Linked DNA regions of Diceros bicornis minor. The main gene of each other region encodes a partner of the protein of the gene in region 4 in a complex. Links are inferred from orthologs where the notes say so. Each region holds a gene or a part of one and is shown on either strand. Other genes may lie near its edges. The genes, in order: TAF11, TAF3, TAF10 and TAF6.

Region 1 (6,919 bases), on a different chromosome or scaffold from region 4:
GGGACTAATTTTGATAGAGCACCTACTATATGCCAGGTCTGAGATAAACTCTGCAGTGTGTCTAGCAATCGGCCTGGTACAAAGCAGAAGACGGGTAAACATGTGGCAAGTGAATGGCAATAATGTGGGTGCCTGAGCAGGTCCTCTCCCTTATTTATTGTTTGTAATCTGCCATGGCTTGGAAAACAAATACCCAAGCATAGAAGAACACCATTTAAAATCTGTCTGGCATGGTGCTTTGCACATAGCAAGGGCAGCATGGCACAACTGCACGTGCTGAAGCAAACTCAGGATGGCTAATAGTGAACACTTACAACGTGCCAGAAACTGTGGTTAAGTTTCTTACACACATTACCTAAGACAATACCTATAAGGCAAATAATATTATCCCCATTTTACAGATGCAGAAATGGAAGCTCAAAGTGGTTGAGTAATTTGTATAAAGTTAAGCAGCTAGTGAGTGGTGGCAGTGGAATGTGAACCCAGGCAGTCTGATTCCAGAACAAGTGGTCTTAAGCCTAATATTATATTGCCCCTGAATAAATGTACAGTAAATAAGTGAAGGTCAGAAAGACAGGAAGTGTGTAACAACTTTTTTTTTTTAGTAGAAGTCTTCTTTGCTGACTTTCTGATTCTCAGGTATATTCTCAATTGGTGAGGGTTACTTTATGTAAACATTATACTGACAGGCCAAAGCAACAAACTGTGAAAGCTAGGCAGGCAAAGTATGTAAGTCGAAGAGCTAGTGTACACTACAGATGGGTTCCAAAGAAGTAGAAGCCTGAGAGATCTGTGTGTATGTGGGTCATTAGGGAGGGCTTTAAGAAGTTAAGACCTAAGCCCAAGCAGTATAAGAAAAAAGGGATGGGCTGAGAGAGGGGGCGTTTTGTAGCTTAAGCCTGAAGCCTTTGTGGAATTGGGGGGGTGGTCATAAATAGATGACCAGACAAATACACACGTGGTTTGGAACATTTACATCCACTGCAGCTGTAAGCTCCTACTCCTGTCAGCTATACTTGGTCCCTCAAACAGCTGGACAAACGTAGGCTCTAGTTGGCAGTACTAGTGGGGTTAGGATATGGCAGCTAATGCAAAGGCCAGATCTGCAGCTAGGATTCCACAGCTCTCATTAAATAACGCAGGGTCCTTGAGGTGGGGAGTGTGGGCACAAGGGACCTACCCTCTACTATTTCCAAACCTAAAAAGGGAGGACATGCTGACCTAGGGATTATTTAAATGCATGGTCTCATTTGCTCAGAAATCTTTCACAAGGTTGAACCAGAGTCACCTCTAATTAATGACACACCTAGTGTAACTAGTGCCTGCAGATCCTCCCTGCCCCTAGGAGTCCCAGGGATAAGAGACTGGGGCAGCTCTTAGGCCATCTACTGTCTCGACAACAGACACGAGCAAATCAGGAGGAATCAGCTCTCTTATGCAAGGGAATAGAGACACTATCTACGCTTTATGAAAGACTGGAATATTCACATGAGGCCCAAAGTAAAAACAGTGTGCTCAACAAAGATTTCCTAGTCTTGCCTAACCACACGGCAGTTAAATCCTCAGTAAAATTTCAACAGTCTCTGAGTGAGAACACTAAGAGTAACTTGACCTGTACTTGAAGGCGGGAGATACGTGAAGTATCTCACTCCAGCAGGACATGTTGGGGGTTAACATATCTCTGGTGAACCTCCAAATGCTACATCATTCAACTGATTAGAGACAGGCACCTCCAAACTCGTAGAGTCTCTCTCATCTCTCAGACATCAGAAGTGCAGAAATATCAAAGTAATCCAGGTAAGATTCAAAACCCAATTCATGCATTCACAGTACATTTATTGAAGACCTCTGAGTTGTCAGGCACTGATCTAGGGACTGGGAATATAAACAAGAGCAAGACTAAGTCACTCTGAAAGATGGAAGTGCACCCATCCATTATTATTTCCCTTGATCACACCCAACCACTCAAGGCTCCAGGCAGGAAGTTCTTCTAGCGCCCCACTAACACCAAATAAGTCTTCTTTCCCACTTCTGTGCCTCTGACCATGGTGCGCCCACCTGGAACACTCTCACCATACTTCACCTACCCAAATCTTCACATCTTTCAAAGCCAGCTGTATTTTCCCTCCTCCTGGAAGCCCTGATCTCCATCTCATTCCAAAGCGATGTCTCATTTCTCTGAACTACTAACAATGACAGTGAGTACCACTATCAGTTTATTTAGAAATTTATCATCCTCTCATTGATACTTTTATTCAACAAATGCTGAGTACCAACTATGTGACAGCATTGTTCTAGGGGCTGGAGAAATCCCAGCAAACAGTACTGGGTTTTGCCTCCCCAAAAGACCTCCTGGGGAGAGTTCTTCTCTTATACTGCTTTTTAAAATCTTCCTCTATAGACCTGAGTTTGTATTCAGTGCTTAATCTAACAATTTATTAGACCCTTGGGCTTCTTTGGTCCAAGCTCACTTAAATTGAAGTTACATAAACTAATGGGGAACAAAAGCAAACGAAGTCATTTCTACATGAACTTCCACTTCTTAAAAACCTCAAAAGAACAAGGAAGGAAAAGAAAACAGGCTATGAAAGTGCTGCTGAACCAACATATTTTACTCACACTGACAAAGCACCTCCAATCCCCCCTCAGAGTCACACAAAAGTGACCTTTTTTCTCTCAATCCTTACAGCTCCAGATTCAAGCGTTTATTTTAACAACAGACCCTGGAAAAGTTTAAAGCATCCCTCAGTTTCCTAAACAAGTCTTTCTGAAGCTTTATTTCTTGATGAATAACCCCCCTGATGAATCCTGCCTATGTCACTTAACAGACCAATCCAGCGAGGTCCACTACGAGGAACTAGAATTTGAGCTTCAAGCAAAAGAGGGGCTCAAAGAACACTTTGAACGTAATAAATCCAGATACAATTTTAATATAAACACAAGCCAGGTCCTGCAGAGCCTGATGGAAGGTTCCAAGTCCCCAAAAGAAAGAAATCAAGAGAATTTCCTCCAAGAGAGCCGCGAGATTCTGCAAGGCGTGGGAGTTTCTGCAGGAGGTGAGGGAAATTTAAAATACATAAGTATTTTTTGCTCTAAAGTGGCTTGTGAGCTACGACAGCTGGCACCCTATAAAGGGCGAGGGTGAAGCCGGGCTGTGCCATGCGGTGCAGGCTGCCACCTGGGCACTCCCACCATTCTTCGCAGCCGGGTCAGGACGCGAGACGAGGAGAGCCAGGCGCCGCGCGGACCCGCACCAGCGCCCCCGGCTGTGCGGGCCTCCTGCCCTCGCCCCGGGGCACCCCGCAAACCCAGCCCGCCCAGGTCTCAGGAGCCCCGACCTCTCTGGGGACCCAGGAGACGGGCAGAGGAGGTGGGGTCTCCAGGCAGCTGCCCGGCACCGGCACGTTACCCACCTGAGCAGACTGGAGAGGGGATGGCTCGAGGAGCCGAGGCCACCGCCGCCGCCGCTGCCACCCCCGGAGCCGCCCCCGCCGCCGCCGCCGCCCCCGAAGCCTGAGGAGAGCCGCTTCCCGGACAGCAGCTTCTCCACGGCCGGGAGGTGCCCGGTGCGGGCCGCCTCCAGCAGCTCCTGCTCCTTCCCCATCCCCAGGGCCGCCGCCCCCTGGACCTCCTTCCTGGGGCCGCCGCCGAGCCTGCTCGGGCTCCCAAACTTTCCGTCTCCGGGCAACGCACCCCCCAAAGCGGCCAGGGACACCACCCCCCTCCCCCCCGCCTTTTCCCCCACGCGCGCGTCACTTCCGGGATCCGGCGTCACGCGTCACCGCGCCCCCGCGCCCCGCCCCCTTGCCCACCTAGATGGGCGGGGCTCGGCGGGGCGCGGCGGGCGGGCGCAGGTGGCTGTGGTCTGCGCGAAGTGGACCCTGCGGTGAGGAGATAGGCCTCCAGGGGCAAGGGGACTGCGCCGTGTGGGCACCCACTGTACGGGTGGAAGAGGACAAACGGGGCCCACCTGTATGCGCCTCCCGAAGGGCATTCCTTCCCCGAAGGTTTTGGGATCCCACAGGACAGGAAATACGGTAATTCACCCAGGCAGTGTAGAAACAAAGAGAGAAATATGGTAACGCGCACCTACATTTCCAAGTCCATTCTTTCAGCACGCATGAATTAAATATGTAATGGGTGTGGGGACCCAGTGATAACAGAAGTGAGTAAAATACTCCCCTCCGTACCTCAATGAGGGAAGAGAGGAAAAATTTTAAATAGAAATATCCCCACTTCTTCATGCTCCCAATCCCTGACATGGCTCGTTAAAGTGACAAGTTCAAAGGAAAGACCTCCCTCCCAGTAGCATTTGTTTCCTCTTAGTTTTGCTGAGATTAAGCAAACTGACATAAAAAGTCAGATTTGTGAAACTGATCCTGATCTTGAGTACTGGTGAATTGGAAAAATCATTTAATTGAGTAGAAACTATATCTGTTTTGTTTCTGGTAGTAGCACTGTTCCTGGCTCGAAGTAGGCGCTCAGTAGTTGAGGAGTGTATAAATGGATTGGATAAATTCTGTTCAAGATATATGAGTTTTTGGTTTTTTTTAAGGTGCTTGAGGAACAGAAGAGGAATGCTGGCAATTCAGTGTAAACACAGGCCCGCAGTCTCTGTCCAATTGAAACGTATGAGGTTGAGTCCTCGACTGAAAGTTGACCAGGCAGCCGCATCCCACGACAAGGGCGTACAACGGAATTGAGTTTTTCTCGCGTCCCCGAACTTGACTCTGAGGAAAGCGGATTAAGGAAGCAGTTAACTGACATTTTTAGAAAGGCAGAAAGAAAAAAGACGTCCTTCAGTAAACAACAGAGCTCTCCTTTACAAATGCTGGTTTGGCAGGGTGGAAAATCCAAACTGACTTCGATACTCTCAATTTTCCCTCTCCGCACCGCCACCGAATCAGAGTCAAAACGGAGCCCTGAAGTCCTCTACGCGCGCCTCAGAATGACCCCTCCGAGGAGCAGTAGGGGTGATGTCATCGCAGCGCGACAACAGGAAGTAAGCTGGGTGGCTGTGCCGCGCGCGGTCTCGAGCTCCTGAGTCTGACAGCACCGCGATCTCCTCTCCCCTTCTCGCCGCGATGGATAATGCCTGCGAGTCGCTCACGGAAAAAGGTGGAGAGACAGGGGAGTCAGATGAGACTGCCGCTGCTCCCGGGGGGCCCGGGGCTACTGACATCGACGGAATCCCGGAGGAAACTGACGGGGACGGAGATGGGGACTTGAAAGAAGCCGCAGCTGAGGAAGGCGAGGTAAGGAGAGATGTGTTGATGAGGCCGGGGGAGTACTCCGAGATTATGGTACCGGCTGCTCGACCGGCTTCCTGGTTGGTCCCTCCCAAGCTAAGATAACGCGAACTCACCATGACTGCCTCTAGATCTGCAACCGCGGGGGCGCCTGGAGGGAGGAGACAAAACTGTAGTGCTGGTTTGGTTCCAAAAACCCAAGTACTGGGTAAATATTTTTAATCAAAGCAAAATTTTAAATCAATTTAAAATCAAGGGAAAGTTTTAATGCCTTTAGGTGTTACAGCTACTTCTAAGGGAATTTTAAATAGCTTCTTGGTTTTCCTGGTGAGGAAATTGGCATCTGATATCACACTGTGACTAAGTGCAGAGCTAGAACCCAGGATTCCTAGTACCCCTTTCCCCGCAATATGGTTTCTCTTAGATGTTGCTTAAGCCTAACTTCGTCATTGGCTGCAGATTCGTTAAAGGGAGACTTTGAAGGGGTTACTGATTTAGTCACGTTTTTACCCTCTGGGGACATTTAACTGCTACCAGTGACCTGGGTGCTAATGTCCAACGGTCTCTATAGCATAAAAACACCAAATTCATCAGTTGTGCTACCTCAAGAGCTCAGCAGTGTTGCCTAGCTGAGCATCAGTCAGGGGACCGGAATCTCAGCGTTCTCTGGGTTCCATTTCTAGAGATAGAACCTTGGGGTCTTAGACCTATAAGGGACTTAAAGAGATCATGGGGGAGGACATTTGATTAGATGGAAACAGCCATTCAGAGCATAAAGTTGCATCAAAATATATAAAGTAAGAACTTATAGAAAAAGAGAAAAATGTGATGAAACTATTTTAAGAAGGAACCTTTAAAATAGATCTCAAGGGCAGAAAGGATTTGAAGAATAATTAGCTTAGTCCAGTAGAGAGCTCACTACATACAGAAATTTGCACCCAACAGAAGATAAAATTCTTTTTTTGTTGTTGCTTCTGAAATGCTTTTAAAAATTGATCGTATACCAGACCAAAAAAATATATAAATTCTTAAAAGCAGAAATCATAACAGGCCACATCCTGTTTGTAAAGTGCAGTAAACCCAAAATTAATAACAAAAAGCTTCTCCCACCCCCCACTCCTTCCCAAAAACTAATACCCGGACATTTTAAACTGTTTTCTAAATAGCCTTTAGATTAAAGAAATTAACAAAGAGAACATTACATCAAATCCTATGGGATTGGACCAAAACTTTATTTAAAGAAAAATTCATATCCTTATATATTTTTATTAACAAACAGGAGATATTGAAAATAAGCACCCAACGCAAGAAACTAGAAAAAGAAAATAAATCAGAAGAATGTAGGAACAAGGAGTCAATAAGGATAAAAGTAGATATTAATGAATTAGCACTTAAAAAACATAAGAAATGATAAAAGAAAGACCTGATTATTTGAAATGTATATGCACAACATTATGAAATAAGAAAGGGCCAAAGGCACTGATACAGAAACTTTTAAAGTTATAAGAAGGCCGGCCCCATGGCTTAGCGGTTAAGTGCGCGCGCTCTGCTGCTGGCGGCCTGGGTTCAGACCCCAGGCGCGCGCCGTGGTGCCACTTCTCCTGCCATGCTGAGGTCGCGTCCCACATACAGCAACTAGAAGGCTGTGCAACTATGACATACAACTATCT
Region 2 (7,593 bases), on a different chromosome or scaffold from region 4:
TTCAGGACAATGGGAAAATCTGAATATGCACTTTTTATTGGATAATATTATCGTATCAATCTTGAGTTTGCTGCATGTGATAATGGTATTACGGTTTGGCGGAAGCTGTGATGCACCTCCCAGATCCCGCTTCAGCAGGACTGAAGGACATATTCACCCAGCTGCTGCGAATGCTGTCAGCACACAGCCCTCAGCTGTCAATCTTCTTTGGAACTGCCTCCACTGGAGACCGCCTTGCCCAAGATCATGGCCCCCTCCTGGGATGCCCACATCCAGCACCTGATCAGTGTGGGAGTATAAAGGCCAGGCCCCCGTACCTGAACTCACGACAAGGAAGGGCCTTCCCAGCTTTACAGCTCTCTAGGGGTCGCCAAGGTCCTCCTTGAGGGTGGGCCGGCAGCCCAACACCTCCCTCCCCCAGCGCTACTTCCTTTCCAGCCCTTCCCTTCCCCAGGTGGTGATCCCAAGGGCATGCCTCTGCAGGCTAATCTCCACCTCAGAGACTGCTTCCTGCAGAGCCCAACTGGCACAGTTTGTACCAGAAGGGCTTGAGGAAGCAGACACTAAGATAATGGAAGGGATCTGGGAGCTGGATCAGCCATCTGGTTGGCCATGTGGTAGGCAGAGCACAAAAAGTCCCGGGCACAAGGTAGTAAGTAGTTCCTGAATGTGCAGGTTGTAAAACTTTTACCACTAGTGAACTGGGGTAGTACAACAGGGGAAACAAGCTGGTATGATGTATCAGTGATACCGGCTCAAGACAAAGTTGACATAAGGGAAGCCATATTGTTGAAAAGAAAAATTCTGTTGTAATTTTGAATGACGTCTGACAAACTAACCCAGCTGCATATGCTCCCTCCAGATCTACCTGCTCTGTAGATTTTACGACCCCTGCTTGTGCATGTACCTCCCAGCTGTGATAAGATGATAACTGCTTTTTTGAGTTCCTTAGGAATGTGATGACCCCCGAACAGAGAGTCTGTGCTGATAGCCATCATCAGTGAAAACTGAAAGATCTGGTGTGGCGACTCCCAGTCTGTAAGACCAGAAGGTCAACATTCCTAACCCCCTCCCCTATAACCCACCGGCCTAGATAACTACTGTAAGATTTGTGCCCCCTTAAGATGGTTCTTTTAGATATTACTCGGCCATCTTCCCTCTTGCTAGCAAGCTGTAATAAAAAAGTCCTTTCTTTCCTACCACCTTGCCTCTTGACTATTAGCATGTCTTGTGGCGAGCAGAAGGCCCCACGTTGGGCGGTTAACATCAGTGTTCAGGTAGGCAAGAAATATGAGGATGACAGGACCCTAAAATGATAGAGGCCAGGTAGGAGTGTTCTAACTGCAGATGAGTCAGAAGCCAGGTGAATGCAATCATGATAAGTAAGAAGCGGCTAGTACACAAAAGGTCATGGTAAGATACATGTGTTCTGGAGGGTGGGAGATAAACTCTACAAAGATTCAGGGGCCCACCATATCAGTAAGATTTCTAGGGTCCAGCGGTCTGGGGCATGCCGGCACATCTCTTGCAAAGGGTAACTTGTTGCATCTTGTACCATCCACCACGAAGAAGGAAGCACAATGCCTGGTAGGCATCTTTGGGTTCTGGAAGCAGAATATTCCACATGTGGGAATTCTGCTCTTAACCATACACTGATGGCTTGAAAAGCTGCCAATTTTGAGTTGGGGCCCAGAGTAGGAAAGTGTTCTGGAGCAGGTTCCGGAGCAGTGCAAGTTTCTCCCCTACTTGGGCCATATAGCCTGGTAGACCTTATGTTATTAGAGGTAGCCATGACGGGAAAATACTCCACGTGGAGGTGATGGCAACTCTAACGGGAAGTAGCAACGCAGACCCTTAGGTTCTAGAGTAAGTCCATGACATATGTAGTGGAGAATTACATCTTTTGAAAACCAGCTCCTGCTATGCTAGTGGGCCCCGCTAGAGATGGAGTGTCTGACCATGGGCACTACCCAACTATGAACTGCCCATCACGAGCTGGGTTCTGTCAGACCTATGTCAAAAAGTCAAGCCTAGTGGCAATCCATCCTAAGACAAAAGTGGTACTTCAGGACCCGTCATGAGCAGGGCTGGGAGGGCACAAGCAAGCGCGTGAGAAGGTAGGCCAGACCCCAAGGTCCATCATTAACGATGCACCATCACTCTCCCTCACTTTAGACCAGTGGCTGCATGGGGGTTCCTTATGACCAGCAGAGCAGGCAGGACGAAAAGCTTAGCTCAGTTCATGGACGAACTGGCTCGGCATGTAGATGCAAGCCACAAACTGTGGCTGTGACTGTTGCCATAGCCTTACTCCATGTGGCCCTGCAAGACAGCAGTGAGGGGAAACCCTCCCACCTGGCAGAGCATCGGGCAGTGTCGAACCCACTTGCCTGCCACAGAGACCAACGCTGACTCCCTATGTGCTGAACTGTGTCCCCCAAATTCATAGGTGAAGCCCAAACCCCCAGTACCACAGAATGTGACTGTATTTGGAGAGAGGGCCTTTAAAGAGGTAATTAAATTAAAATGAGCCTGTTAGGGTGGGCCCTAATCCAATCTGACTGGTGTCTTTATCAGAAGAGATTAGGACACAAAGAGAGAGTGCACAGAGAAGACCATGTGAAGAGAGAACAAGAGGGCAGCCCCCTGCAAGCCAAGGAGAGAGGCCTCAGAGGAATCAGTCCTGCCTGCACCTTGATCCGGGACTTACAGCCTCAGAACTGTGAGAAAATAAATGTTGTTTAAGCCTCCCAGTCTGTGTTATTTTATTATGACAACCTGAGCTGACTAATACACTTTCCAAGGAGACCAACTAGCCACTTGTTGGCAGGTTGACCACAGTGGCCCCTTTCTTCCTAGAAAGAGCAGCCATTCACTTTGATAGGAATAGACCCATATTCTGGGTATAGATTTGCCTTTCCTGCTCACAGTGTTGGATGTACTGGTGTCCCATATCACGCTGTGTCAGACCAAAGGATCCATTTTACAATGAAGGAGGTTGGGAGTGGGTATACAACCGCGACATCTACTGGTCCTATCACATACCACACCACTCCAAAGCTGTTAGCCCAGGAGAGCAATGGAAAGGCCTTTGAAGGCACAGGTAAAGTACCAGCTCACAGGCAGTACTTGTGAGGATGGGGCGTAGCCCCCCAGGATGCTGCATACACTTGAAGTCAACGACTTGTCTGTGGTGCTGGGTTCCTGATAGGTAAACAACTTGGGGTGGAAGCTGGAGTCTCCCCACTTACCATCACTCCCAGTGACCCATCTGGGAAACTGTTCTTTTTTTTTTTTTTAAAGATTTTATTTATTTATTTATTTATTTTCCCCCAAAGCCCCAGTAGATAGTTGTATGTCATAGCTGCACATCCTTCTAGTTGGTGTATGTGGGACACGGCCTCCGCATGGCCAGAGAAGTGGTGCGTCGGTGTGCGCCCGGGATCAGAACCCAGGCCACCAGCAGCGGAGCACACGCACTTAACCGCTAAGCCACGGGGCCGGCCCTGGGAAACTGTTCTTGTCTCTGCAACTCTGGGTTCTCCAGGTTGATAGTCCCGATTTCCAGAAGGGAGAATGCTTTCATCAGGGGACACAGCAGGAGTCCCACTAAAATATTAGCTACAGTTGCCACCTGGGCACTTCAGGCATAAAAGGGCCTATTTAAGAAACCAACTAGATCAGCTATTACAGCCTGGCTATCCACAGGCTGATGCTAGCCTAACTGTGGCATTAGTGTGGCACGCAAATTAAAACTTCAAAATGTATTCCCAGTATTTAAAAATCAAAGTATTTATCAAAATTCCGATTTCTAACAAATTGGATAGATCTGACAACAATGAGCGGGAGCTGGGAGAAAGCTCTGGAGCCGGCAACAGTGCCCCATACACTCAGCCTGCTTCATTGATTTACCTGTTTGGCCTTCGTAGGCAACTGAGTTCTCGCTTCCTTTTGTTTTTGTAAATAAAGTTTTATTGGAATCAGGGCTAGGATTAGAATGACGTGCGGCAGGATTTTCTTTGGCAGTAGTTTGGCTTTGAAAAAAAACATTGTATTAAAATATTATTGATCTTGATTAAGTTTTTTGGTGCCCCCAGAAATTTTACACAGAGGCCACTGCCTCGGACTTGATTTAATCTACACTATGGTAAGCAGCTTAATTTTTTTGTTCGTGTTGAGCAGAGACAAGACCAGGTCAGATCCATGTTTTGGGGAACACTTCAGTTCCCACGCCCCAAATCCCGCCCGTCAGGTTCCCACTTCTAACACCCCATTTCAACATCATGTTCTGGCTCCCTCTTTTGCCCCTAAACCACTGACAGTCCGCTCTTCCTTCCTCGCCACACGCGCGCCCCCCCGGGAGCGCCCCACGCACCTGCCTCCGGGGCGCATCCTCCACCTGCGCTCGGCACAGCCGCTTCCCGCATCCGTCCAGGCCCGAGAGCCGATGCCGACACCATCGCTCCGCTCCAGCGGGGCGGAGCTTCCTCATCGGCGCGCTCAGCACTTGGCTAGTGCTGCCTCGCCCCGGCGACCGTCCAGCGGGAGGCGGAGCGAGTCCAAAATGGCGGCTCTCAGGCTGGCGCGCTCCGTGCTGCTGAGGCTTTGAGGTGGTCGCCAGGGGTCGGGGGGGGACGATTTCCCCGCCGCGGGGGCCCCAGAGGATGAATCGGGGGCTCTGCTAAGGTTAGGCCGTGGGGGTGGAGAGCAGTGGCAGCAGGGGCTGCGGTGGAGTCCACGGAGCGGGATGTGCGAGAGTTACTCCAGGTCGTTGTTGAGGGTCTCGGTGGCGCAGATCTGCCAGGCGCTGGGCTGGGACTCGGTGCAACTCAGCGCCTGCCACCTCCTCACGGACGTGCTGCAGCGCTACCTGCAGCAGTTGGGACGGGGCTGCCATCGGTACTCTGAGCTCTGTGAGTACCGGGCTGGGTGCGGGAGGGCTGCCTCTGCCAGTCACGAGTGACACCTCGGGGCTCCCCTGCGCTCGCTCGGCGTCCCCGAGGTGCTGGTCCTTCACCCCCACCCCGAGATCGGGTGTCGTCTCGGCCGCTGACGCCCCTCCGCTTCCACTGCCCCTGGAAACTCTAGTCGTCCGCGGGGTGCCTCTTCCTCATCCGCTAACTTCCCGCCGCCAGCCGGGAGCCCTGCCTGCGCTCCCGGCTCCTCGCGCTCCCACCCTTCTCTGATCAGAGATGCGCCTCGGTCCTTCTCCTCGCCTCGTTTTTGCTGCGTGTAGAACCACCTCCAGAATGCCTCACAGCCTCTTCTACTTCGGTCCTTTTCCTCCCTTGCCCGCAAACTACTACAACTAGTTGTCACAGGCGCTCCGTCTACCGGCCGTTTCTTACCAGGCTGGCCATTCTTCAGCTCATAACCACACATCCTCGTTGACAGCTCTGCTCCGTTAGGGACCCTGCCTCTCCTCTGTGTATCTGTTCTCGTAGGCGGCACCTCCGTTGACTCTTTCTCAAGGCCAACTTTCTCAGTTTCAGTAAAACTTTCATTTACATCTCAGTCGCCCATTGCTTTCCTCCTTTCTGTTTTCGTGTCAGTGGTCATCGAAGTGTGGTCGAGGGGTCGAGGGCAGTTTACAAGGTTCTCCAGGTAATCTGGGCTGCAAGTACTTATGGTTTTTAAGTTTATGTCTGGTAGTGTCTATAGCTGATGGCATTTAATAATTTGGAATATTTAATAGAAGCCACACATCATCTCATTGATGTGAAGTGTGGGTGTGGAGGGGAACTACCCCTCATTTAAGTTTCAGGTCATTATTTTTAAGGCGATAAGCTGAAGAACTGGGTGAAGTGTTTCATAGGATATTTTGTTTTGTTAGAAGTAGTTCCTAGACTGGAAAATTGAGACCCATGGATACACTTTACTTCTTAAGCCCCAAATTCCGTTCCAGCTTCCATAGTGCTGCCCAAATAATCTGTCCATAACACAGATCAGATCGTGTTATTCTTAAAAATATTTCAATTGGTTACAGGCTGAAAATCTAAACTCTTAAGCAGTGCTCGGTTTCCTTTGTGAACTAGCATTTTGCTTATCTTCTGCCATCATGCCATCCTATTCTGCAACCATGCTGAGCTACCTGCCTCTTCTGGAACATTTTAAGCTATCCAGGCCTATATGCATGCTGTGTCCTACAGTGTCTTTGCCCCCTGGTCCACCAGTAGTACTACTTATATTTTGAGATTGGCTTATCGCTTGCTTTAGGAAACTCATGTTATCTACTCTCGTAATTCTCTGCATATTTCTGTTATGTTTTTCAACACCTTATTTTGTAATCATCTGTGTATGTCCCTCTCCTTCCTCCTCCCCAGGAGACAAATTTATTTGTATTCTGTAACCTAGTATGATGCCATAATATAATAGGCACCTTGGAAATATTTGAATAAATGAATGAACTGATAACCCACTACCATAATAGCTATTTAACCACTTCACTTTTTGAGTTTTGAAAATGTGTAGTTTTTGAATGCTTGGTTTCACTGATACTTCTAATCTAAATTTGGAACTCCCAAGTAACTCTCATTCATTGTTATTTTGAAAGTACCCCACCAGCACATTACTCTCCTGGCTTTTGCTTCTTTTCCCTCTCGGCCCCCTTCATGGTCCTTGAGTATACTGTTACGGTTATGCCTAGTCCAGATTGTATTTTTGCTACCAAGTTCCTTAAATAAGACAGATGTCCTGTACATTTAGGTAATCAAAATATCCCCTGAATACATAGTTACCTTTCCTGCCTTATACACAGAACAAGAATATGTGCTGGTGCTCCAAGTCGTCAGGTATTCCATAGTCATCGCGTGATCATTGTTATGCGTTAATGTGAATCTTTTTCCTAATTACCCAATTTTCTGTAGTCGATTTTCTTGCTTTTAGTGAGAATGCAATTATCAGATACATTATTCCCCATTGTGGTTTGGTGACTTTTTTAAAATGCTAATTCCTGTTATACTTATTAGTTACAGGCTTTTTTAGGTTCTTTTTGCTATACTATCCTACTTTTAAACTCGAATTCTGTAACCTCAGGTTACTGCTGTGCAATCTTATATTCTATTCCTTTAAATCCTTTTTGTCTTTTTGACAAACATTTGTTGAACACCACTTATGAACTAAGCTCTGTGCTAGATGTTGGAGACATGAAATTACTTAGGCACAATCCCTGCCCATAAGGCGTGTACAAGGGTGTCAAAATGTCCACAAAAACAAACTGATGGAATTTGTTCCTTTTAAAAAAAAAAGTGTTCTCAAGTTAAAGCAAGTATTGGAAGTTACTATTAATTCAATAAATAATGTATTTTTAAATTCCCCTAAGGTAATGATTTGTCATAGCTTTCAGGGGCACATTTTCTGCGTATATCGTATTATGTATTAAATATGTGTATGTGCACCGAAAGCAGATGCTAAATCTTTCAGAATGACTCTTCAAGACTGGTACTCTAATGTAATAATTGCATGGTCTAGGCAGTAAATGCAAAAGGAATAGAGTAAAGGAGAGATGGGTGTGGGCTGTGGGTTCTGGGGCAGGATTACTTCCCAGGAAAGATGAGATTTAAGTTGAGCTGTGAAGTATGATTGTTTAAAGGT
Region 3 (6,152 bases), on a different chromosome or scaffold from region 4:
GAGATGACGAGGACTCCCTCAGCAGTGCCTACCTCCAGCGGGTCAACACCGAGTTCATGAAGGCTGCTGCTCGTGGTCTTACCCTGCTCTTTGCCTCAGGTGACCTCCTACTCAAATTTAGACCGCCTCCACTCACCCACCCAACCTGGCAGATTTGACCCACAGTGACATGTGAACCTCATCTCTGACTCATAATCTGAACTCAACAGAGACCACTGACTGACCTCTAAACTTTGACCTCTTGCAGTAATGACTAACACTTGAATTTCCTCTCCGACATCTGAACCCACACACCAAGCTCTGACCAATTAATCTGAGTGCTAAACTCGGTCTCTCTCCCAGGTGACAGTGGGGCTGGGTGTTGGTCTGTCTCTGGAAGACACCAGTTCCGTCCCACCTTCCCTGCCTCCAGGTAAGCACCCTAGCCGACCACTTACCTGTGACCACCAACCTTTCATCTGTGACCTCCTGATCTGGAACCTTTGCCTGACCGCACCAGGCCCTCCTGTGACTCAGCCCTCAGCTTTACCTGCTCTGGTTGCTGCACTCCCCTCTTCTTCCTGTAGGTCCCAGGCCCCAAGACTCCTGAGTAGGACACAGCTCCCAGTGTTCCTTTTCCTCAGTCCCCAGGCATTTTAGTGAAAGATTTGGTGGGTGTTCCATAGGGAAAAATGTGCACAGTCACCTCAGGCCATGCCTTGAGGGCTCAAAACCTCTTAGTCATCCCCCTGTACATGCTTCCCTACAGAGTCCAGCCCCTCTGCAAGTCCAGCCCCTATGCAAGATCCAGGGCATACTTCCCCATCCCTACTCATTTTGGAGGTCCCCTTGGGACCCCTACGATCTGAGCGCTGTCTTCTGCCCTCAGCCCCTATGTCACCACGGTGGGAGGCACATCCTTCCAGAATCCTTTCCGAGTCACAAATGAAGTTGTTGACTATATCAGTGGTGGTGGCTTTAGCAATGTGTTCCCACGGCCTTCATACCAGGTACGCATATGTTTGTGTGGGTGGATGGGTAGGGGGGATCCTCAGTTCAGCAGACAAGACTCACTCAGCAATGCCTTTCAGGAGGAAGCTGTATCCCAGTTCCTGAGCTCCAGCCCCCATTTGCCGCCATCCAGTTACTTCAACGCCAGTGGCCGTGCCTACCCAGATGTGGCTGCACTCTCTGATGGCTACTGGGTGGTCAGCAACAATGTGCCCATTCCATGGGTGTCTGGCACCTCGGTGAGAATCAGCCTGGCTCCAAAACCCCCACTCAGCAACTACTCTTGCACCCAGAACCCCTGACTCCTCAGAGACCTCTGGTCCTTTCAAACATCCCTCTCCCAAAGTCCAATCACTCTGAACCCCTAACCTCTACTTACACCCTCACCCTTGCAGGCCTCTACTCCAGTGTTTGGGGGTCTCCTAGCCCTGATAAATGAACACAGAATTCTCAGTGGCCACCCTTCTCTTGGCTTTCTCAACCCAAGGCTCTACCAGCAGCGTGGGACAGGACTCTTTGATGTAAGTGTGGAATGGAAGGGGGCGGACGTTTTCCTAAGAGTATGGGGAGTGCTAAAATGAACTTGAGGGCAGTTCTTACGGGGTGGGAGAGCCCCTGGGATGTGAATACAATGTGAGGGAGTGCAGTCTATTAGTACTGGGACCAGCAGACCCAAATCTGATGCCCACTTTCTCCCTAGGTAACCCGTGGCTGCCATGAGTCCTGTCTGAATGAAGAGGTGCAGGGTGAGGGTTTCTGCTCTGGCCCTGGCTGGGATCCTGTGACAGGCTGGGGAACACCCAACTTCCCAGCTCTACTGAAGACACTAATCAACCCTTGACCCTTTCCTACCAAGAGAATGGGCCTGTCCCCTGCCCCACGGCTGGCGGCTCGGTCCCTTATTCTGCAGTTGGAAGCCCTGCTGAACCCTCAACTGTTGACTGCTGCAGATAGTTTATCTCCCTAACCCTGAAATGCTGTGAGCTTGACTTGATTCCCAATGCTTCCCTGCTCCATGATACTCAGGTCTCCCTACTCCTGCCTCAGGTTCCTCTACAGATGCTATAACCAGTACTGTTTGGGATTCCCCCCCCCCCATTTCTTCTTTCTCTTTTCAACCAGACTTTTCCAAAGGGTTGTCTACGCAGTCTGTATACGTTATTCCACCACATATTCTCTCAATTCATTGCAACGAAACCTCTGCTTTCATTTTTTCACTTTTTCCTCCCGACACTGAGAAACAATGGCCTCCCTGCTGCTTCATCCAGTGCACACGTCCCAGTTTCCGCTTTAGGGGCTCTCTGTCATAGTTGCTCACTCTCTCTCCTTCTTTAGCTTCCAGGGCTTAACTTTTCCTCTGACCATTCTCTCTTCCTCCTTCATTCCCTCTTCCTCCTTCTCTTTCTCTTCTTCCTCATTGAATATTGGTGTACTTCATTGCTCCATCCTTAGTCTTTTGCTCTCGTCACTCTACCCATTGTCCCCTGGAAGAAATCAATCACTGGCATCCACAGCCATCACCATCTCCCAAATCAGACTTTCTATCCAACAGTAATTGATACCACAGATGCAAGATGTGTGAAACTCAATACTTGATCTCCCTCCTTCCCAATCCCAAACTGTTCTCTTTTGTTTATTCTTGGTAAATGATACTACGCTTCTTCCAACCAAGCCAGAAACCTAAGTGTCATCCTAGACTCCCATTTCCTTCACCTCCCCCCATCACCACCTTCAATCAAGTCCTATTGACTTCACCTCTTAAATACATCTTTATCAATCCACAAGTCCTGCCAGTTATGTCTCCTAAGTATATCTAGAACTCGTCTGCTTCTCTCCATCTCCACTGCTACTACATTAGCTTAGAGCCATCTTGTCTCTCCTCTGAACTGTAGGAGGCCCTTGCAAAAAGTGTCCTTACGTTCTGCCCTTCCCTAAACCATCTTCCAGAGTAAAATGCAAATCCCATCAGGTCATTTACTTGATTAAGACCCTTCAAAGATTACTGGATAAAGTTCAGTCTTTTTACCATGATTCACAAACTGGATCCCTTCCTTGCTGTTTGTTCCTGAGTAACAAGTTGTTTATCCTCCCCTGCTCTCCTCCCCACACTTTCACTCTTGCTCAAGACATTCTGTGCCCTTAACACTACTCTTAACTCCCCTTTGCTTGGTTGACTTCCAGGACTTTTTCAAGAATCAGCTCAGAAGTCACCTTCTCCTGTGAACCTTTTGGCTTCCTGAAATTAGTTGATTTTGGCATGTCAGAAAAATCCTAGATTTTTGAAACCAAACCAGTTTGATTCTTGGTTCTGATATAGACTAGAAGAGAACCTTGGGCAAGTAAGTTCATCTCCCTGAGGCTTTTTTCTCATGTTAAGTAGGGATATCGATACCTGCCTCTCATAACAAGCAAGGAATAATTAAATGGAATCAAGTTGATAGAGCACCTGACACACAGAAGTAAGCAGCAGATGTTAGTTCCCTTCCTCTGCTGCACCGCATTCTGTGTCTACCTCTAGGATTATAAATCTCACATAATATTGAAATTGCCAGATTACCTGTTTGCCTCCCTTTCCAAGACCATTGGTGCCTAGAGGACTAGAATCTTGTCCTACTTAACTTTGTATTCCCAGGCCCTAGCTCAGGATTGGCAAATAGGAATCAAATAAATGTTTGCTGCATTTAAAACCCCACTTTTTCACTCGCTGTGATTTTGCATATGTTGTTTACCCAGGCTGAAATACCTCTTTCCACCATCTACAGCAACACTGTGTGCGCTCTCCCGCTGCCCTCACTTCTCCCGGCAGCTGGCGGGGAGTGGGGGCTTTCCAACTCCATTACTAAGCCTTAAAAACACTGAATGAGGGAGCTATAAAGGATGCAGGCTGGCAGGCCTCCTGGTCGAGGGGGCTGGGCCCAGGAGCCCCAAAGCAAGGTCTTTAGGCGTAAGACTGAATGAGGGGGTCCCAGACCCACCGAAGAGAGTCCTCGACATTCAAGGGTTCCCATCCCAGCGGAACACTTGAATACGGCGCGGGTAGAGGGTGGAATGTCCGCGGCCAGCGCCATTCTCCTAGGCTGGTCCCCAACCTTCAGTCCATGTCATCCAGCGGGAGGATGGGCAACCGGGAGGCGGAAAACCTACGGCGGAGGGCGAACACGGCGTGGGCGCGGCGAGTCGCGAGGCGTGTGACGTCACCCATGGTGTGTGTGCGTAACGTGAGCGGAAGCGGAAGTGGCTCTGTTCGCCGCCTCTCCCACCGGCCCGATGAGCTGCAGCGGCTCTGGCGCGGACCCCGAGGCGGCGCCGGCCTCCGCCGCCTCGGCCCCGGGCCCGGCGCCCGCGGTCTCGGCCCCCGCCGCGCTGCCCGCCGGCACTGCTGTGGAGAACAAGGCCAGCCCCGCGGGGACAGCAGGGGGGCCTGGGGCTGGAGCCGCGGCAGCGGGCACGGGACCCGTGGCGGCGCGGGCCGGGGAGCCGGCCGAGCGGCGCGGGGCGGGTGAGGGCCGGGACGGGTGAGGGCGAGGGCAGCGCCTTGGGCTGGGCCCAGCGGCGGGTGAGAGCAGAGGGTCTAAGGCAGATCTAGCCGGGGCCCTGCGCCCCCCACCTCCGTGTCTCAGTTTGCTGGTTCTTCTCCAGCTCCGGTGTCGGCGGGCGGCGCGGCGCCCCCCGAGGGGGCCATGTCTAACGGGGTTTACGTGCTGCCGAGCGCGGCCAACGGAGAGGTGAAGCCGGTGGTGTCCAGCACGCCTCTGGTGGACTTCCTGATGCAGCTGGAGGATTACACGCCTACGGTGGGCTTCCAGCCTGAACAAGGCTGTTGACACGCTGTCACGCCAACTTTCCGCCACACCACCTGGATTTCCAGCGTCCTCTTGTATTTGCTTCCCTGCTAGCTCTTGTGATTTATCCCCTCTGCCCAGCCAAACTGTGAGCTTCCTGATAGCCAGGCCTGTCCTCCCCCATTTCCCTTACTCTCTCACTGCCGTGCACAGGGCTAACACTGACAGTCATCTAATTGATTTCTCAGATCCCAGATGCAGTGACTGGTTACTACCTGAACCGTGCTGGCTTTGAGGCCTCGGACCCACGCATGTGAGTAACCTGTGGGCAGGTTAGAGCCTTGGGTGCTTGTGTGGACTCTGTTGTCCATCTCCTCCTCATACCAGTTTTTTCTCTCTAGAATTCGGCTCATCTCCCTAGCTGCCCAGAAATTCATCTCAGATATTGCCAACGATGCCCTACAGCACTGCAAAATGAAGGGCACAGCCTCTGGCAGCTCCCGAAGCAAGAGCAAGGTGTGAGGGGAGGCTCATTGAATCAGTAATTACCTCCCCAGCAGCAGAGGCTTAATTTATGCTGAAACTCCTTTGGGGAAACTAAGCTCTAGGGGAGGTGAATGACCTACTCAGGGTCATCACCTGGGACTAAAATCTGGGATTCCTCTGCTCAGCTGGTGCTCTTCCGTCTTCCCTCAGGACCGCAAGTACACTCTAACCATGGAGGACTTGACCCCTGCCCTCAGCGAGTATGGCATCAATGTGAAGAAGCCGCACTACTTCACCTGAGCCACCCAACCTAAATGTATTTGTCTGTCCCCTTGACCCCACACCAGCCTGTTTCCATAATAAACTTTATTGTGACAGGCAGGGCTGATCCCTCCCATGCTGGGAGACACCGTGTGGCAAGTGACAAAGCTCTGAGCCCAGCCCCTTTTGGGGCCACAGTGGTAGGGACGGGGGCAGGGGATGGGCCCCATGGCTGGGGTAGTACCATGACTGGAGGCAGGGAAGGCAACCAGAGGCCTGCAGCTCTGGGGAGGTGCACTCCCCTGTGTCCTGACACCTCTGGAGTATAGGCAAGGACTTTCCAGCCCTACTTGTCCTGCATCTTCTCCAGGATAGGCACAATCATGTCAAACTTGGGTCGCTTAGCAGGGTCTTCATTCATGCAGATCTTCATGAGCTTACACACATGGGGGGAAATGCCTGGTGGGATGGTAGGCCGAAGGCCTTCCAGTGCCACCTGCAGATACAGGGAAAAACCAGGTAGGTCTCAGAACTTGAGTCATGTGGGGAAAGGCCTCTAGCCCTCAGGACAGGATTACTGTATATCCAAACATACACAGTATGAGAGCCCAGCCCCACCACAGTTATTGTCAC
Region 4 (7,006 bases):
CACTGGGGCCCACATACTCTGCCTTCACACCTGCTACTGTGGAGAAACTGCTCACGCCCCTCATGAGCTCAAGCACTGCTCCAGCATTTCTCCCATCTCCCTGCAGCATCGATTTCTCAACCTACCAGATCATCCCCATCAGCCTACAAAGTGCAGTGATTTTTCCCATCTAAAACAACAAAACAGTGGTCTATCCATACAATGGGATATTATTCAGCCTTAAAAAGGAGCGAGATTCTGACCCGTGCTACAACATGGATGAACCTTGAAGACATTATGCTGAGTAAAATAAGCCAGTCACAAAAAAGACAAATATTGTATGATTCCACTTATATGATGTTCTTAGAGTAGGCAAATTCATAGAGTCAGAAAGTAGAAGGGTAGTTGCCAGGGGCTAGAAGGAGGGGAGAAAAGGGTGTTCTTGTTTGACAGGTACAGAGTTTCAGTTTCGCACCATAAAGAGTTCTGGAGATGGATGGTGGTAATGGTTACACAATATGAATATTCTTAAACACTACTGAACTGCACACTTCAAAATAGTTAAGATGGTAAGTTTTATGTTATGTGTATTTCACCACAATTAAAAATTTTTTAAAAAATCTTTTCTTCATTCCACTTTCTCTACAAGCTATACTCTGTTTTTCGGATCCCCCTTGCAACAAAACTCCTGGAAAGAGTTGTCTTTTTTTGTGTGTGTGTGAGGAAGATCAGCCCTGAGCTAACATCCATGCTAATCCTTCTTTTTTTGCTGAGGAAGACTGGCTCTGAGCTAACATCTATTGCCAATCCTCCGACTCCCCCCCCCCCCCCCCGAAAGCCCCAGTAGATAGTTGTATGTCATAGTTGCACATCCTTCTAGTTGCCGTATGTGGGACGCGGCCTCAGCATGGCCAGAGAAGCGGTGCGTTGGTGCGCACCCAGGATCCAAACGCCGGCCGCCAGTAGCAGAGCGCGCGCAGTTAACCGCTAAGCCACAGGGCCGGCCCTGGAAAGAGTTGTCTTAACTCTGTTTCTAACTCCTGTCTTCTCCTTCTCTCTTGAACCTACTCCAATCAGGCTTTTGACCCCACTTGGTCCCTGAAACGGCTCAAGGTCACCGATGACTCTACATTGCCAAATCCAAGTTCCACTCTCCTTCCCCATCTCACTTGACGTCCCAGCAGCGTATAGCCTAGTTGACTACTGCCTTCTGAAAACACTTTCTTTACTGCATTGCCACACCACCTTCTCTTTGTTTTCCCCCTACCTCACTGGTCTCTCGGTTTCCTTTACTGGTTTATCTTCTCATCTGCTTAATGTTGGAGTGTCCTGGGCTCAGTCCTCGGTCTTCTTCTGCAGCTACACTTATTCTCTTGGTGACCTCAACCACTCTCACAGCTTTCAGTATAGCTCATAGGCTGATGATGGCCAAATTTATATCCCCAGCCCGGAGCCTTCTTAACTCTAGACTCGTATGTCAAACTGTCTACATAAAATCTCTTCTGAAACTGAACTCCTGATCTCCCCACCTGCTCCAGCCTCAGCTTTCTTCATCCTCAGAGCGACACCATCCATCCAGGTGCTCATTCTTTATGTGAGTCCTCAAATCAAACCCACAGGTAATCCAACCTGAATGTCTCACTCTCACTGCGAGGCCAGGTCACCACCATCTATCATCTGGGTAACTTCTGACAAGGTCTTCCTGCTCCACCACCGCCCCCTACATCTCTTCCCAACACAGCAGCCAGAGTGATTCTGTCAAAATATCAATCAGATTAGGTCATTTCTCTGCTCAAAACCCTGTAATGGCTCCTCATTTGTCATACAGTAAAATCCAAAATCCTTATTACGGTCTACAAGCTCCTTCGTGATTTGCCCTCTCTCCGTTACATCTCTGACCCCCTTTCCTTTCTTATCCCACCTTGATCCAGCCCCACTGTCCTCCTCGCTGTCCAAACCTGACAAGCATGCTCTTGCTTTATGACTTTTGCTGTTCCTTCTGCCTGGAATGCTCTTCCCCCATGTCAGCTTGGCTGCCCATTCCCACCATCCTATTTAATACCACACCTCATCCTCACTCTGCCCTTTTATTCCCCATAGCATTTAAGATCTGCTAATATATATCGTATCATTTCTTATTGTTTATCACCACCACACCTCCCCTTCCCGCACCGTGTGGACAGAGATCTCTGTTATATTCACCAATGTATTCCAAGACCCCAGACTGGTGCCTGAGACACTGTAGATACTCAATAAATATTTGTTGAGTAAACGAATGAATTGTAAGGCTTAGAGATGGAGGTACTCAATAAATACTTCGTACCACTATTATCAAAATGAACAAGATAAAGGCCAAGCTTGGAATCTACTTTGCGGCCAAAAGGAAAGTGGTTTGCCTGAAGCTGGCATTAAGAAGACTACTGTCAGAGTGTTTAGGACTGACTGCGGGTGTAGGTGGGGGACGGCTGGGGCGTGCTGGAGGGCTGGGAAGATGGAAGCGAAAGAGAATCTGGTTTTCTCAAACCATCCCAGGTCTCCTCCCCCAGGTTTATAAGTCTTATCTGCAGGGAACACATTTATTCAACACATACTCTGTGCCTGGAGCCAGGTATACAAGAAGCGGTCGTGTCGCAGTTCCCTGGCGAACTCCTACTAATCCTTCAATACCTCGCGTTACCCTCCGCCAGTAAACGCTCATAAAACACGCTACGACCTCAGGAGCCCCTCAGGTCAGTGGAGTGGGCAGCAAGGCTTCTCAGAGGAGGGGTAACTTGAGCTAGATCTGTGTAGAGTCTCCCCAGCAGAGATGCGGGTCGTTGGTCCCCAGGCAATGGGCACAGCGCGAAAGGAAGCGCAGAGCCCGGCTCATCCCCCCCGACATCCCTCCAATGCAAACACACACGGAGTCCCCACGCGCACGGACACACAACCAACCGTCCTCCTCCGGGTCCCCACACGGGCCCTTCAAAGGGTCTAGCCCCGGGTACCACTCAGACCCGCCCCCGCCAGCCGAGCGTCCAGGGCAGGAAAAGTCTCTCACCGCCGCCAAAGCGCCGCTCACCCGGCGCTCGGCGCCATGTTGGCCCCGCCCCCTCCCGGGAGCAGGTCCTTGCAGAGACGGAGAGCAAGACACTGCCCCTTCCCCGAGCCGGAATAAGTCCCCTAGGCTCACGGTATGAAATGATATAAAAAACACTGTTTCTGTGTCTACATGTAAGGAGCACACTCTCCTGCTGCAATTACTTCAGTTTATTCCTTCACCACCCAGCGGCCAGGACCTTCCGGAGCCGCCACCACATCGAGGCGGGGAAGCCCGGAGCGTAGTGAGGCCCCACCCCCTTTCGGGCCAGCACTGCGCGTGCGCCTCCCCTGCCAGGCTGGATTTAAGTTGCCGCCGACCGACTCGCGATTTAAAGGGCCCGCTGCCTTCCCGAAGTTGGTTAGACGACAAGGGGTGGTTGGTTGTGCACAGCACTTTGTCATGGGACCTGTGCGGCTGGGAATATTGCTTTTCATTTTGGCTGTGTACGTTGCTTGGGCTGGGACGCCGAAAGAGGAGGACGATGACACAGAACGCTTGCCCAGCAAATGCGAAGGTATCAAAAGGGAGTAGCCTCTGTTCGCATCCCTCTGCCCCACCTCCTTCGTCTAGGCCGAGCCAAATGGACCGTGATGGCTGGGTCACTCGACCTCCTTAAAGGCCTGAGGGAGGTTCTGGTGGAGGTTGGCGGAATTCGAATGGGGTCAAGGGAAGGAACCCATAGCGCTACCCCCAAACTATGGCACTACAATTGCCATGAGACATCCAGGGGGAGCCCGTTTTTCCTTGTTGGCTTGGGCCCCAATGGTTTGTGGGAATTGTAATTAAGGGACTATCTGCCCAGGACTGCCCACTCTACTGAGCATCTTGAGTGCCTCTGTGTGTTTGTGTTTCCCCCATACCACTAGACCTAAATCTGGAGAGCCTGCAGGAACAGCGTGTAAGGCTCGTACCTTGTGGATAGCCTCTGCTCCACCCCGGCAGAGACGCTCCCAAATTACAGGCCCCACGTCCTCCTGAGGGGATTTGGGGGTGAGTAAATCAGCCCTTGATGCTCATAAATGAAAGAGGAGGCCACACTACTGGGAGAGGTTCCCCATACGTGTGAGGCTTTGCAGAGGGTGTGTACTATATGGCTTTTACAGCGAGCAGCATCTTCTGTGGCTGCCTCACGTGGGTTGCCCAGCTGGGAGGGGACACTTCAGAGTTGGGCCATTCAATGCCCTGGCTCCCTAGTTTGTTGCCTTCCTGACTTTAATTTCTTCCTTGGATTCTTTTTCCCTTCACCTCGCTCCACAGTGCGTTTCACTATCAGTGTTCCTCATGACTTGGTCCTAATCTCTCCTCTCCTTTCACTTGTGTCCCCACTCTTCTCCCCCCGACCGCTGCCAGTTTTTCTAAACACAGACCCAGTCAGTCCTTGCTTTAACCCCTCTGCAGGCCTCCTGCTGTGGTCAGAATATAGCCAACGTTTTTGGCATAGCATACATCTCTTTGTTGTATGGCCCCCACCTTTCTTACATTTCCATACCCCACCCCCATCCCCAAAGAGTCCAGGCCTCAGCCACAGTGAACTTCTCACGGTCACCAAGCCTGCCCTATCCTCTCGCACCTCTGTGCCTTTACAGGTTGTTTTTCCCTTTGCCTGGAATGACCCTCTCCGTTCTGTATTTGGTGCTTCATGACTCAGTTTAAATGTCACCTCCTTTGGAAGCCTTCTTCCTTTTCTATCACCTCCCACTATGTTATAAGACCTTGGAGGGAAGGAGAATCCCTGGGTCTCCCAGGTCCTAGCCTAGTGCTTAGTGCCTGGCACATTTTAGGCACTTTTGTTACTTGCCCCTGTGTTTAGTTTGCTTGGCCCTTCTGTATGGGCCACTCTCTTTTCTTGGGAGTCACTGTGCCAGGACACGTGCTAGGTGCTGGAAAGACAGTGGTGGAACAGATGCAATGCTCACCCTTAAGGAAATCACAGGCTAGTAGGAAGTCAATAAATGACCATTGAATGAATTTTGCATTTCCTAGTGAGACTAAGTCTCTTGGTTTTAACCCCTAGTGTAGGGTCTATCACACCATATTGTCATCATGTTTTTCTCTGTCCCCAACTACATGGCAGTGTCCCTTGGATAAGGATCATGGGTCTTACTGCTCTCTGTATTGTTATTGTGCATCCAGAAGGAGGTCAATAAATGACTGCAGAACAACAGAAGACACTTATATACTGCTCACTATGTGCCAGGCACTATGCTAGGAGCTTCACACAGATTGACTTATTTAATTCTCACCACACCCCTATGAGGGAGGTACTATTATTATCTCCATTTTAGAGGTGAAGAAACCAAGGCACGGCAGGATTGTCAGCTACTAAGTGGCTGAGTCAGGATTCCAACTCAGTCAGGCTGGCTCCAGTCTGCACTTAGAACCATCATTCTCTGCTGCCTTTGCTCAGCTGCAGAATGAGTCGCTGGTATGTTTGTTTGTCTTTCACATCCTCTTGGACATCTAGTGTGTAAGTTGCTGAGCCTGGAGCTACAGGAAGAGCTGGGTCGCACTGGCCGATCTCGAGAGATGCTGGAGCTGGGGCAGGTGCTGGACACAGGCAAGAGGAAGAGACACATCCCCTACAGCATTTCGTGAGTCCTTCTTGTGTTCCTCCACCTTCCAACCCCTGAAGGAGCCCTGGGAGCTCCCACAGCATCCGGGGACATCTTTGTTTCCCCTCTTTCCACAGAGAGACAAGGCTAGAAGAGGCCTTGGAGAACTTATGTGAGCGGATTCTGGACTACAGTGTTCATGCTGAGCGCAAGGGCTCACTGAGATATGCCAAGGTCAGACTCTTCCCCAAGGCAGGATCTCACTTCTCAAAAACAACACTTGTATCCCCTCGCGCCCATCTTCCCCCAGCTCTGGAGTATCCTCTCCCCATTGTAGACTCCCTCATCTTACCTTCATGGAACTCCCCCCTGAGTCTCCGCTAGTCAACAAAACTGATATGGTGGAATGGGGAAGGAAGAGGCGGGGCAGTGGGCGGGGCTCATCCCAAATTCCCATCTCTCAGGGGCAGAGTCAGACCATGGCAACGCTGAAAGGCCTGGTGCAGAAAGGGGTGAAGGTGGATCTGGGGATCCCTCTGGAGCTGTGGGACGAGCCCAGCGTGGAGGTCACATTCCTTAAGAAGCAGGTAGGAGGGATACTAGCACTGCCCAGGGAGGAGAGAAGGGAACCTGGGAGGGGAGCTAGATCCTAGGGAGGTCCACTTCTAAGCAGGGAGAGGCGGCAGAGTGAAGACTCTGCCATCGGTTGAAGTGGGCCCAGGAGCATATCAAGAAGTAATAATGGAGGCTAATAATATGCACTGTCACTTACTGAGCAGATACTATGTGCCAGATTCGGGGCCACATACTTTGCAGCTGCTGCCTCATTTTACTCTCACAACAACCTGACGTGGGAGGTACTATTACCATTTTTCATTTTACAGGCAAGGAGCTGAGACTCAGAGTTTAATAACCTACTTGGCAGAGTAGGTGCTGGTGAATGTTTGTTGAATGAATGAGGATCACACATCTAGTAAGCCAAGTTTAACCTCCTGGCTACCTGCCTCTCCAAGGTGGGGTTGGGAGACAGGGAGTGAAGTGCAGAGAGGAGGGTTTCCAAAACCCAGCAGAGCAGATACCCTTCTGACCCTTCCATTTGACCAGTGTGAGACGATGCTGGAGGAGTTTGAAGATGTTGTGGGAGACTGGTACTTCCATCATCAGGAGCAGCCCCTACAGCATTTTCTCTGTGAAGGTCATGTGCTCCCAGCTACTGAAACTGGTAAGTGTGTGAGCTGGTTCCTTTCCTGCCAGACTACACCCTCCACTACCCCCAGGCCCAATATCTAAATTGTTTTCTATCATCCAACTTAGCATGTCTCCAGGAAACTTGGACTGGAAAGGAGAAGATCACAGATGGGCAAGAGAAGACAGAAGGGGAAGAGGAGCAAGA

The links.
Region 1: TAF6 (region 4) and TAF11 share a complex: the UniProt entries of both Homo sapiens proteins name them as parts of the TFIID basal transcription factor complex. The link is inferred for Diceros bicornis minor from reciprocal best matches to the Homo sapiens genes TAF6 and TAF11.
Region 2: TAF6 (region 4) and TAF3 share a complex: the UniProt entries of both Homo sapiens proteins name them as parts of the TFIID basal transcription factor complex. The link is inferred for Diceros bicornis minor from reciprocal best matches to the Homo sapiens genes TAF6 and TAF3.
Region 3: TAF6 (region 4) and TAF10 share a complex: the UniProt entries of both Homo sapiens proteins name them as parts of the TFIID basal transcription factor complex. The link is inferred for Diceros bicornis minor from reciprocal best matches to the Homo sapiens genes TAF6 and TAF10.

What each region holds. Positions count from the first base shown.
Region 1 is NC_080753.1:29,813,427-29,820,345, forward strand, and holds the start of TAF11 (transcription initiation factor TFIID subunit 11), read left to right. Parts: upstream 1-3,902; 5' UTR 3,903-4,037; intron 4,038-4,555; exon of another isoform or gene 4,556-4,907; 5' UTR 4,908-5,084; coding exon 5,085-5,255; intron 5,256-6,919. Other genes in the region: ANKS1A (ankyrin repeat and SAM domain-containing protein 1A), read right to left, coding at 3,414-3,604. UniProt on the Homo sapiens protein: The TFIID basal transcription factor complex plays a major role in the initiation of RNA polymerase II (Pol II)-dependent transcription.
Region 2 is NC_080775.1:8,867,026-8,874,618, forward strand, and holds the start of TAF3 (transcription initiation factor TFIID subunit 3), read left to right. Parts: upstream 1-4,585; 5' UTR 4,586-4,747; coding exon 4,748-4,913; intron 4,914-7,593. UniProt on the Homo sapiens protein: The TFIID basal transcription factor complex plays a major role in the initiation of RNA polymerase II (Pol II)-dependent transcription.
Region 3 is NC_080746.1:64,662,009-64,668,160, reverse strand, and holds TAF10 (transcription initiation factor TFIID subunit 10), read left to right. Parts: upstream 1-4,242; 5' UTR 4,243-4,257; coding exon 4,258-4,489; intron 4,490-4,629; coding exon 4,630-4,784; intron 4,785-5,020; coding exon 5,021-5,085; intron 5,086-5,173; coding exon 5,174-5,288; intron 5,289-5,468; coding exon 5,469-5,558; 3' UTR 5,559-5,639; downstream 5,640-6,152. Other genes in the region: TPP1 (tripeptidyl-peptidase 1), read left to right, coding at 1-104, 348-412, 869-989, 1,071-1,229, 1,386-1,511, 1,691-1,831; ILK (integrin-linked protein kinase), read right to left, coding at 5,866-6,015. UniProt on the Homo sapiens protein: The TFIID basal transcription factor complex plays a major role in the initiation of RNA polymerase II (Pol II)-dependent transcription.
Region 4 is NC_080765.1:5,656,590-5,663,595, reverse strand, and holds the start of TAF6 (transcription initiation factor TFIID subunit 6), read right to left. Parts: upstream 3,004-7,006; 5' UTR 1-3,003. Other genes in the region: CNPY4 (protein canopy homolog 4), read left to right, coding at 3,461-3,575, 5,526-5,652, 5,751-5,847, 6,078-6,200, 6,718-6,835, 6,928-7,006. UniProt on the Homo sapiens protein: The TFIID basal transcription factor complex plays a major role in the initiation of RNA polymerase II (Pol II)-dependent transcription.